Canis lupus familiaris: one gene and its partners. The protein of the gene in region 2 interacts with the protein of the main gene of each other region in a biochemical or structural test. Links are inferred from orthologs where the notes say so. Each region holds a gene or a part of one and is shown on either strand. Other genes may lie near its edges.

Evidence for each region.
Region 1: the proteins of STX4 (region 2) and SNAP25 form a complex in vitro, tested with the Homo sapiens proteins (3 studies listed by BioGRID). The link is inferred for Canis lupus familiaris from reciprocal best matches to the Homo sapiens genes STX4 and SNAP25.
Region 3: the proteins of STX4 (region 2) and SNAP23 form a complex in vitro, tested with the Homo sapiens proteins (4 studies listed by BioGRID). The link is inferred for Canis lupus familiaris from reciprocal best matches to the Homo sapiens genes STX4 and SNAP23.

Annotation. Positions count from the first base shown.
Region 1 is NC_049245.1:12,539,710-12,543,962, reverse strand, and holds the start of SNAP25 (synaptosomal-associated protein 25), read left to right. Parts: upstream 1-1,453; 5' UTR 1,454-1,617; intron 1,618-1,758; exon of another isoform or gene 1,759-1,800; intron 1,801-1,889; exon of another isoform or gene 1,890-2,185; intron 2,186-4,253.
Region 2 is NC_049227.1:17,346,011-17,348,885, reverse strand, and holds the end of STX4 (syntaxin-4), read left to right. Parts: intron 1-166; coding exon 167-275; intron 276-347; coding exon 348-424; intron 425-660; coding exon 661-798; intron 799-1,718; coding exon 1,719-1,829; intron 1,830-1,921; coding exon 1,922-2,002; 3' UTR 2,003-2,020; intron 2,021-2,115; 3' UTR 2,116-2,375; downstream 2,376-2,875. UniProt on the Homo sapiens protein: Plasma membrane t-SNARE that mediates docking of transport vesicles. Necessary for the translocation of SLC2A4 from intracellular vesicles to the plasma membrane.
Region 3 is NC_049251.1:9,746,622-9,750,711, reverse strand, and holds the start of SNAP23 (synaptosomal-associated protein 23), read right to left. Parts: upstream 2,801-4,090; 5' UTR 2,662-2,800; intron 1,286-2,661; 5' UTR 1,091-1,285; intron 697-1,090; exon of another isoform or gene 677-696; intron 581-676; exon of another isoform or gene 462-580; intron 437-461; exon of another isoform or gene 204-436; intron 1-203. UniProt on the Homo sapiens protein: Essential component of the high affinity receptor for the general membrane fusion machinery and an important regulator of transport vesicle docking and fusion.

The DNA.
Region 1 (4,253 bases), on a different chromosome or scaffold from region 2:
GCGTGTGTGCGCGCGTGTGTGTGTGCGTGTGTGTGTGTGTGTTGGCAGGGTTGGGGATTGTGCCTTGTTTTTCCGGACCCGAGACAAGGATTTTCCATCGCCTGAAAGAGGCCATCGAGTTTTAACATTGCGAGGCACGACTTCTAATCGCATCCTTCCCGGAAAAGTACAAACAGTTCCTCAGCCGAGGTCCCCCACCTCCCACGCGCTCTCCAGCTCGCCCTCCCCGCGGAGCCCCGCGACAGCCTCCCCAACACCTGTGAATCATCCGAGAGGCTGCCGCCGCGCAACCATTTGCATAGCCCACCACCCGCCCTCCCTCGGTGCCTAATGCACAACAAAGGAGGACAGTTAGGATTATTCCCTTATGGTTATTATTTTTAATCTCTCATATGACCAGCACAGGTAGCCTTTCTCGCCCACGCCGTTTTAAGCATCAGAGCACTCCCCCCCCCCACCCCGGCTAGCCTCGACTGGTACCCAGGTTTGCACATGGAATGAACCACCAAAATTCTGTAGCGTCCCAGAGATCCTGGAATCCTCAGCCTTCCCCACTCCCCTTGGAAGTCTGGATGGTTCCATAAGGTCTGTGCGCGCTTCCGTGAACTATTCCTAAGAAACCCAACATAAAACCCCAGGTTCTGGTTGCATATTTAACCGAAAACAGCGTCATCTAGTTTGCCCTCAGCAAATAACTCTCAACTCCAAGCCTTGAACTCCAGGAAACCCACGCTGGTTAGGTTAACTACCCCTCCCTCCCCCTCCGCCCAATTCATTCTGTATCTCTCAGAGATAATTGCTCTGACGTACTTTAAAATAACGTGTACGCGTCTGCCTCCCCAACTGACCACATTAATGCAAACTCTAAACGCTGGGTGCTGCTTTGATAAAATGAAGAAATCACTCATAAAAATAGCAGCCCACGTAGCCTGGCCATATATGGAGCTGGTGAGGGCTGACAGGGATGCCCCTTCGGAGCCGCTTCCTTAGAAAAAGCGAATTGCAGCTGAAATCCCCTCGACTACCTCCCCCACTTCTACTCTTCTGCCTTCCCCTCCCCTTCTATGACTCAACCAAAGACAACTCAGCAGGGGGAGGGGAAATTCTATATAATCGCATATATGTCGCAGATATGACACAATATAGGCACACACAGATAACATATATACATACACACACACAAAGAATATCAGAAAACTAGTCGCGAGATAAATGTATTTGCCCGACACCGGGTGTTAAGATGGAGTCATAAGAATCGCCTCATTCAGGTGTTTATAAAAGACTGAAATACAAAGGTTTGCAGGAAAGCGCACAGGGAGCTGAGTCAAGCGGTCCGCACAACTCGGCTCCGCCCCTCCCACCGCCCACCTCCCACCTCCATCCTCCCCCCGCGCTCCCCGCGGCACACTTCCTCCCCGCCCCTCCTGGAGAGGGCTATTAAAAGCTGCTGACGTCAAAAGGGACGGCCATCTTTGATGAGGGCAGAGCTCACGTTGCATTGAAGACGAAACCTCGGAGAGGTCAGGCGCTGTCTCTCCTTCCCTCCCGGCTTGGCGGCTCCTCCACACTTGCACCCTGCGAGGGGCCAGGCGAACACCACCCTCTGCAGAAGCCAAGGTAAGGAGCCTCCACCTCAGGTCGTGGTTCTGGTTTTGGATGGCTGCATACCCAGAGGGGACCACAGCCGAGGAGACCAAGTGAGCGTGGGCAAATACAAGTATTTGTGCACCTAGGGTGCGGTATGCCGTGTGTGCGCGTCGGGATAGCTCCGGTCTAGGGGCTTTATAAAGTATTTTCGAGGTGAGCCGCCTGGGGAAGGGAGGAATGGGGACACTGCAGATGGAGCGATGGGGAGGAAGCGCAAGGATACATGCCGAATAATAACTTACTCTTTCGAAACAGTAGTGGGACTCTCTTCCATTTTGCGATGCAGTTTTCAGAGATGTTTAGGCTGCTGGTTTTTTGATTTTTTTTTTCCCCCGGTAGACCAAAACAAACTCTGTCGTTCTGACCCTGTTATTTTGACTATTGTCGTTCAGGCGCTATTATCCAGCGAAGAATTAGGGAGAAGGCAGGTCGTGGGCGCTGGGGAGGCGAGAGAAGGGGGAGTTCCCGCCCCGGGCAAGCCGAGCTGCAGCAGCGGCAGCAGCCTCCATGCCCCGCGGACTTGATTTATGCCGCCTGCTCCCCGTCGACTGCAGGCTGGCGGGAGGCGGGCGGGTCATGCTGTGTGGGAGGGCTCTGCGGAGGGCTGGCGGGGGTGGGCTCGCCTCGGGGACTGCGGCGGCCCGCAGTCAGCACCCTGGACAGCGATGCCCAGGCCCCTCGCGGGCGCCCGCGACCTTTCAGCACCGCGGAGAGCGGCCCGGCAGCCTCGCCGCATCTACCTGCCGCAGAGCTGCCTGGCCAGAGCTGCCGGTCAGGGCTGGAGGCCAAATTGCCTCTCTGAGACCTCGGTCTCACAGAGAGACTCCCTGATAGAGAAGACGTAGTAGGTTAACAATTTTAAAAAAGAAAAAAATAAATCCTGCCGTAGGACTGCTTTGCAGGCAATTACCTGCTCCCATCCTCAGCTCCCGCATAGCTTAAAAAAGAAATAAGTCTACTTATAGACTTCTCATGTTGCCCTCGTCCCTTTTTCTTAAGTAGAAAGTAAACACATTTTTAAGAAAAATCTGCTTCATCCTCCAGTCAGATATCAAGGGTTTTGTTTGGTTTTGTTTTTAACACAGAGTATATTTGTCTGCAGACCTTGGGTGGGCATGAATGAGGTATATATGAAGATACCAAAATGATCTGTTTACAGGAGTAATATATTTCTGTATATATTTCTATTTGATATATATATATATATATATATATATATATATATATAGTTAAACTAAGCAGAATCAACTTTAAGAATGAAGCCCTCTTCTTCCTTCTCTCCCATCCTTGTAATTAGGCATGTACATAAGCACACACTCACAAAAATACATCTCAGAAATATTACAGGTCCTACAAGGTATAGATTTAATCTCTTTTGCCATGGTTTCAGAGGGAGTGGAAGTGTTTCCTATGAACATTGGTTATCTCAGGCCGATAGTTTCTGATCTGGACATTATTAAGACTGGTTTTCCTCAAAATCCAACTATGTCCTTCAGGGTCATGCAGGTGTTAGACTGAAACTGGACTCTGACCTAAAGATCTACTGCAATTTCTATTACGGCACTGCGGGATTTTGCTGAGACAGTGATAAGTACTTTAATCATTTTCTACTCTGAGCCTTGGGGCCTCTGAGTGAACAAAAATTACCAAGGAATATTTCCTGTTGTTTGATATAACTAAAATTGTCATAAAATACCAGGCGCAAAACTGTACTATTTGAATAGTTGTTAAATAAGAGTAACAGCGTCATATGTAGGAATCTATGCAACGCATTAAAAGAAACACTGTCATGATCTTTTGAAAAGCCTCACATTAAGATCTTGGATTGTTTTTGTTAGTCATAACTCCAATGATTTCTATACTAGAGCTGCTAAAATGGTCCTGTCCATATAGAGGAGGTACTTTCATTCCTAGCTATTTATTTCCTAATGTTTTTCAATTTTATGGATAACCTATGTGTTTCCATATAAGTACATATTTATCTGTTACTGTATATGGGTGTAAAATTAATATTCAGGGCTATGTAACTCCATGGAAGAATTTTATAACCTTGCAATCCGCAAACGAAATAAACAACTGTGTTTTAGTGATAGGAGGAGGGGAGAAAAGATGGGTAGGAGTCTTTAAAAATGCTTTGACTTCATGCTGCATGTCCAGACAGCTCTGCGTAGTTGCGTCAAAAAAAAAAAAAAAAATCCTAACGGTGCCAGAATTACGTGCTTGGACATTAGTAATTACTGCTGGGTTTGTTTGCTAGTGGAAGACTGGGGGAAATGGGGGTTAGGGGGGTGGAGGTAGAAGACTGCAGTGAAGCTGGCAAAGGGTAAAGATCTGGAAAGAAGTGGCAATGTGCACAATTACGGAGCTAATTCTAGAACAGCTTACTGAGAAATTAAAGAAAAACATAATTGAAGCATGAATTTAACATTCATGTTATTGAATGTTAAATTTTTCGGGAAAAAATGAAGAGATTTTCTATTTTAAATTTTAAACATCCAGGGCAATACGGCAAGAAGAGGCAGGAGCAGATGGACATAAGGATGTGCCAGGAAACATTCACGTAGATCCTCTGATGGTACCTGCTTGTTTGTGCATTGGCATTTTCT
Region 2 (2,875 bases):
CAATAGGGCCTTATAAGCCCTAGTAAAGGCTTTGGCTTTGACCTTGAGAGAATGGTGGTCAAGGCAGCAGGCTCCTAGAACAGCTTATGCTGTTTGCTCCCTATACTTATGGGGATGTTAAGGCCAAATCCTTCCGGGGTGCCCAGCCTATATTTTCTATCATCAGCATGGGGTCCTGTCCCAGCAATTCGTGGAGCTCATCAACAAGTGCAACTTGATGCAGTCCGAGTACCGGGAGAAGAATGTGGAGCGGATTCGGAGGCAGCTGAAGATCAGTGAGTTGTGGTGTCTGGCCTACAGGGTCAGGTAACCTGACCCAGCTCTGAGCCTGACCTTTTCCTTCACAGCAAATGCTGGAATGGTGTCTGATGAGGAGCTGGAGCAGATGCTGGACAGTGGGCAAAGCGAGGTGTTTGTATCCAATGTGAGTGGTCATGGCTAGCCTCCCTCTTCTGGGACTCTCATCTTCGCTGAGGCCTGGTCCCCTTTGATTGAGGGAATACAGAGGCCTGGAAGGGAATGACTTAGCATGCCTAGGGTCGCTCATCAAGGTCCTGGCCCCAGTTCTAAGCCTGAGGGCTGCCTGAAAGCTCAACAGGAACTTCTGATCTGCTGCTGGATTCCCTGTGACCTGTCTGGCCATTCCTATCTGCTCCCCAGATCCTGAAGGACACGCAGGTGACTCGACAGGCCCTAAATGAGATCTCAGCCCGGCACAGTGAGATACAGCAGCTTGAACGCAGCATCCGTGAACTTCATGAGATTTTCACTTTCCTGGCTACAGAAGTGGAGATGCAGGTGGGCAAGACAGCTGGCTGGGCTTGATGTGAGACCGTGTTCAGTCAGAAACCCCACTGTGTCTGTCAGTCCATCTCCACTCTCTAGCCTCTCTCCCCGAGGCTTTCATCCCCCTCCAGGCTGGGCCATGCCCCCAGGCTGGCCCTCACTCCCATCTGTAGCTGAGCCCCAGAATTGCTTCCACCTCCACATTACACAGATGGCCACTCCTCTACACTCACCATCTTACCCTGTCTCCCAGTTGAGCTACCCAGGATGTAGCCCAACTCTGGCTCCTCCTCCACCAATAGAATCCACCCTTATACCTCTAAGAGTTCTACTCAAAGATGCTCCTTAGGGGGCATGCCTCCACAGATCTGAATGAGGTTGGGGTGGGAGGTGGTGTTCTTCTGCTGCCCCCGTTGTGTGAGGTGAGGTAAGCTGCCGGCCTCTAGTGCTGCAGCCAATGCCCTTGTGCAGCTGGGATTCATGGGGAAGGCATTTCATTCAGTAGGAGTACCAGGACCTGAAGGCTGGCAGTGCCATGAGGAGGCAGGGTTGGGGAGGGCTTCACAGCTGTTGAGAGGCAAGCCTAGAAGAATGAGCAAATTCAGACAGATTTACAAAGAGACAGAAGTTCACCCTCTGTGACAAGGTATGAGCTTCTTAAGGCGCTTGGCTCCAAGCCACCACTGCAAATGAAGGTTGTAGGGGGTAAGGGAGCAGGGCAGAAGGGACTACATAATAAAAGGGATCCTGGAAGCCACCCTCAGGAGTGTGCACTTTGGTCAGATGTGGTCCTACCCCCACACCTTTGTTAGTGCTGCATTTCCTGCCAGAAAATGTCCTTTAGGCAGCTAGTGTGAGCAAGCAGAGGAGCTGATGGGCTCTCCACCCCCAGTCATCCCTACCTGCCTGAACTGTCCCCCTCCTCTGAGCAGGGGGAGATGATCAACCGGATTGAGAAGAACATCCTGAGCTCAGCAGACTATGTGGAACGCGGGCAGGAACATGTCAAGATTGCCCTGGAGAACCAGAAGAAGGCTCGGAAGGTGAGCCTTGACACCCCTTCCCTCCCCTCTAGTCTGAGGCCCTGGTTGCCTTCCCTCCCCTTCTGAGTTTGTTTCCCTGAACTCTCCCACAGAAGAAAGTCTTGATCGCCATTTGTGTGTCTGTCACTGTCGTCATTCTGGCAGTCATCATTGGTATCGCCACATTGGTTTGAGAGCATTGCACATTCTTGGTGAGCTATTGTGGGCCTGCCCCCTGGCCTGCCTCGTCCTGGGCCCCTGCCTTTCCTCCTCCCCTCAGACCCTCTTCTCCCTCCTTCCCTTACAGGCTCTAAGAACACCGGGGACCCGGGTCCGCCTTCTCTCCCAGCAGCTGAGGGGGGAGGGCAGGACAGAGCCTCCAACTGGACCCCCTTCCTCACACTGGCCCTGTGCAGAGGGGCAGACAGTTCTTCTGGGGTTGGCAGCCACTCATTCATGGGGGCTTCTCCACTCAGGCCACAATGCCTGGGGGAAGGCCTGCAGCGTCCTGTTTGGCTGGGACACATGGTTTTGTAAGAAAGTAAAAAAAGACAAACAGAAAAATGAGCTTGGAGACTGCCCCGTGCATGTATGTTCCTAGAAGAGCTGGCCCAGGGCCTCTACGTAGGCGGCCTCCTCTTTCCGTGGCCATCTTTGGGGCCAGGCCCATCCGAGGAAGACTCAGATCAGACTGTTCAGGTGCTGTGACCACAGCAGGCTAGCACTGCCCTTCTACTCTCCCTTAGGAACAGGTGGGCAGGGAGGGGCTAACACCCACATCTGGCTCAGTATTGTCCTTGGGGAAGGATTACTGTGAGTACCTAACCCCAAAGCAGTGAAGCTGGGCCTGGTAGGCTGGGACATAGGTGAGGTGTGTGTGGGCATCCATCGGCCTTCCTGAGGCCACGAGGCACCGTTGAGTAATGGAGGCTGTTACTCCAGATACAGTGAACAGGGAAAGTCCTGTCTCAGAAAGGGTGACATTTCAGTGGGCTGTTAAATGAGGAGGAGCCAGTTATGAGAAGAAGCAGGGGGAGAGGCTGCAGGGCAGAGCCCAGAAAAAGGCA
Region 3 (4,090 bases), on a different chromosome or scaffold from region 2:
TAAAATCCAGTGTTCCAGGGATCCTTCGTGCGTCTACAGTAAAGCCGCGAATCCGGATGGACTTTCCTCGAGAGCACGGACTCTGCGATGCCACGCACCTCAGACACCTCCAAACTCTAGCTCAGAGTCATTCGATCACTGTGGTCACATACAATTAATCCCGACCACAGCAACACTGCAGGGGTGGGGGAGTGGGAGTTTACCTCCGCTAGGTTTTGAGGCGGGGTTCAACCAACCACGATCCTGCCGCCCTTCCTCCGCCGGCCCCGCGGTGGTTTCCTGGCAGCGCGGGTCCTTGCTTCGGGCCCGACCTGCCCAGTCCGGGCCAGAGCACCCCCCACCCTCCCCTTTAGACCGACCGCACCAAGTTTTAAACCGTCACGGGAATCCCCTTGCTTCTTGGGAACTGGATCCCGATCTCCAACCGAGTTGCTCCCTCAACCCCCCTCCCGAAGGCTCACCAAGCAGTTCCGGCCACTCCTCTCGCGCGGCAGCGGCTCGGACACCCCCCGGACGGGACCTGGACCTGCGTCCTCCCGGCGCCTGCGCGCGCCTGGCCCGCGCGCATGCGCACTGCCTCGGCCGCGCGGGCGCGGACACCGCTGGCGCCGGAGCCAATCACCGTCTGAGGGGTTTACATCTCCCTGCCACGCAGGCGGGGAGCCTGGGGACTCACCCGTTAGCCGGATAATTCGGATCCCTCCCGAAGTGCAACAAACATTTGTTAAGGGTAAACCGTTTACTGGAAGAAAAGAAGGCGAAAAGAACGCCTTCCCTGCCTTCCGGGGCCTTTCGATCTGTCTAGATTGGAGATCGACATGGAAACAAATGATAGTGCATAGAATACAGTGCGTGGCATTGGAAACGTCCGAGGCGGGCTTGGCGCACAATGAAAGAAGAGCCTTATTCTTAGGGATGTTTGGAAGGGTTCCCAGAGGAAGTGGCTTTTCAATCAGGAAGGCTAAGTAGTTCTCCCAGAAGTCTGGGGTGGAGGGCCACAGTTTTTTCCAACCCGTGGGAACAGCGTGTGCCATTAAGAACATAGCGCCTTCGGTAAATTCCTCGTAGTTCATCCTAGTTAGAGGCTTACAGCTCATTGTGTATCTCCGGGTGAAGTGGAGAATAAGCTTTAAATAGTCAAGTCGGCAATGGGTCCGATCTTGGAAGGTTTTGCACTTTTGGACTAGTGAGCCTGGACTTTATGCTATGACCTCAGAGAGCCATTGAAGGATTTTTAAACAGGTTCAGGAACTCTTCTAGGCGCCTCAAAGAATAGAGCACAATGCTGGAAATTTAAAAAAAAAAAAAAGTATTTCAGAGAAGAAATAATGGTTTTGGGAGAGAGAGAAGATACCTCCTCAATTATAAGAGGAAGTAGGTGTTTTATGTTTAGTAACAGGAAGTTAAAGAAGTTCTCATCTGATGACCTCTGTTTTCTCTATGAAGTAGGAGATGATGTCATCTAATAGAAAAGAAGTTGGGAGGTTTTTTTTTTTTTTTTTTTTTTTTGAGATTTTATTTATTTACTCATGAGTGACACAGATAGAGAGGGAAAGACAAAGGCAGAGGGAGAAGCAGGTTCCATGCCGGGAGCCCAGTGTGGGACTCCATCCCAGGACTCCAGGATCATGCCCTGGGCCAAAGGCAGAGATGCTCAACCGCTGAGCCACCCAGGTGCCCCTGGAGTTAGGAGTTTTAAGGCAAGTGGAGAGTTTTGAAATATTGTTACAGAAGTGATAGAACAAGTTGATCTTGAACAAGTAGTCGGACTGTTAAGCAGTGTCTAGGGCCTGTATAAGATTGGTAAAAGTGAACTCTCCAGCTTCTAACCTCCTGTGTGACTTACTAAAGCAGCAGTCACTTCTTCCACTTCTGGGCAGAAGTGGACAAAATGTATGGTTGAGTTTATTTATGGTTGGGATAATGCTATGGTTCTCAACCAGAGGCATCTTGGCCTTTGAAGATGACAGGGATTGGAGTGGGGGATGTAAAGGATGTAACGTAAAGGCATGTAAAGGACATGAAGGTGGGAGATACTATAGGCATCTAGTGTCCAGGGATGCTGTTAAGCACCCTACAATGCACAGGACAGCACAAGAATTATCTCCAAATAGCACCTGGGTGGCTCAGTTGGTTAAGTGTCCAATTCCTGATTTCAGCTCAGGTCATGATCTCAGGGTTTTGAGATCCAGCCCCACATTGGGCTCTGTGCTGGGCTTGGAGCCTGCTTAAGATTCTCTCTCCCTCTTCCCCTCTTCACCTCTAAAAAAAGTTATCTCCAAAGTATCAATAGTGCCAAGGTTAAGAAGCCTTGACCTAGGGGTACCCAGGTGGGTCAGTCAGTTGGGTGTCCTATTCTTGGTTTCACCTCAGGTTGTGATTTTGGGATTATGGTGTCAAACACTGGGCTCCACACTCAGCTAGGAGTCTGCTTCTCTCCCTCTGTCACACCCTGCCCTCCCTTCACCCCCTGCTCTCTGTCTTTGTCTCTCTCTCAAATGAATAGAATAAATCTTTAAAAAAAGAAAGAGAAAGAAGAAAGAAAGAAAGAAAGAAAGAAAGAAAGAAAGAAAGAAAGAAAGAAGAAAGAAAGAAAGAAAGAAAGAAAGAAAGAAAGAAAGAAAGAAAGAAAGAAAGAAAGAAACCCTGATCTATGATTACCTTGATGCTCACCAATGGCTCATCTTACTCTTCTACAAGCTTTTCCTTGGACTATAGCCCTGAACTTTTAGGGTAAAGTAGTCCTTCCATTGCATACTTTTGAAGGAGAGTAGAATGAGCATGTACCTGAGACCTTGAGTGTTTCAAGGACTTGTGATGTCACAAATACAGAATTGGAATAGTTCTTCAGTCCTCTAGATACAAATCTGGACTTCTACATAGTTGAAGGGAGGTGCTTGCTTTGGTTTTAGGTATTGAAGATCTTGTTAAACACAGACATTGTTAGAACTTCAATAATATAGGAGTAACGCTTCACACCATTATTAATCTTAATGTAACTTGATTTATCTGATTAGCTGTAGTTACTAAAATAGGATCATGAGAGAATGAATATGGGCTACATTTAATAAAGGAAATAAATATGGTAAGTATTAATAAAAATATCATCATAGGTATTCATGGATTTTTTTTGCTTTATGACAGGCACCCATTCATAGATAGGCACTTGACCTGCATTATGTCATTTAATCCTAGCAACCCCCTGAGAGATACCATTATCCCAATTTTAACTGTGCAGAAACTGAGATTCCAAGAAAACTTGTAATTTGCCCAAAGTCATAAATTAGTAGAAGCTAGGTCAAGATTTGAACTCATATCTGTCTGTCCTCAAGCTCTTAGACCTTCCATTAAACATCAGTAGGTTTTACAAGGCAGGAGTGGTTGGAAATTTAGCTTAAACAATTGCCACTGCATAAAGGGAATGCTGGTGATTTAGGAAGAGAGTAGAAGCAACAGGGAGGCCCAGAAAGAGCAAAACGAATGAAAAAAGAACTAAGGAGGCTGGTCACAGGTGCGTTCAGGGCTGCAGAGTAACTTCTGCAAGCCGACCTGCCTTTGATCTTTCTTTTCCAGTAAAGTCTCTTTACCCTGTGTCCGTTGTTCACTCTTGTGTGTTCAAATAAAGCTAGATTATTGAGAAAGGCGGACTGCAAAGAGGAAAAAAAAAAAAAAAAAAAGGAGCGTGACGGCGGCGGTGTGCGCCTGCGCGCTGGCGGCGGCGGCGGCGGCGGCGGCGGCGGCGGTGGTGCCCGGGGGGGAGGGGGCCCGGAGTGGGCCGCCGGACCCAAAACTGAGAGGGGCCTAGGGGACCTCCCTCGCTGGGACCTTGGCGGCCCGATGGAGTAAGAGGGGTCGGCTGTGAGTGTGAGTATCGAGGCGCCGGGCTGCGTTGGGGCGTATGGGAACGGCGGGGTCCTGGTGGTCTGCCCCTAAGGTTTCGGGCTGCAGGACGCGCGGCCGGGCTTGTGCTCCTGCAGGCTGCGGCGCCGCTGCGCCCGGGTCCTCCCCGCTCCCTGAGCCCGCGCGTTTTACAGGCAGACGGTGCTTCTGGCTTCGGGGTACAGATTCTCGCGGGGGCGTTCCGGCTCTG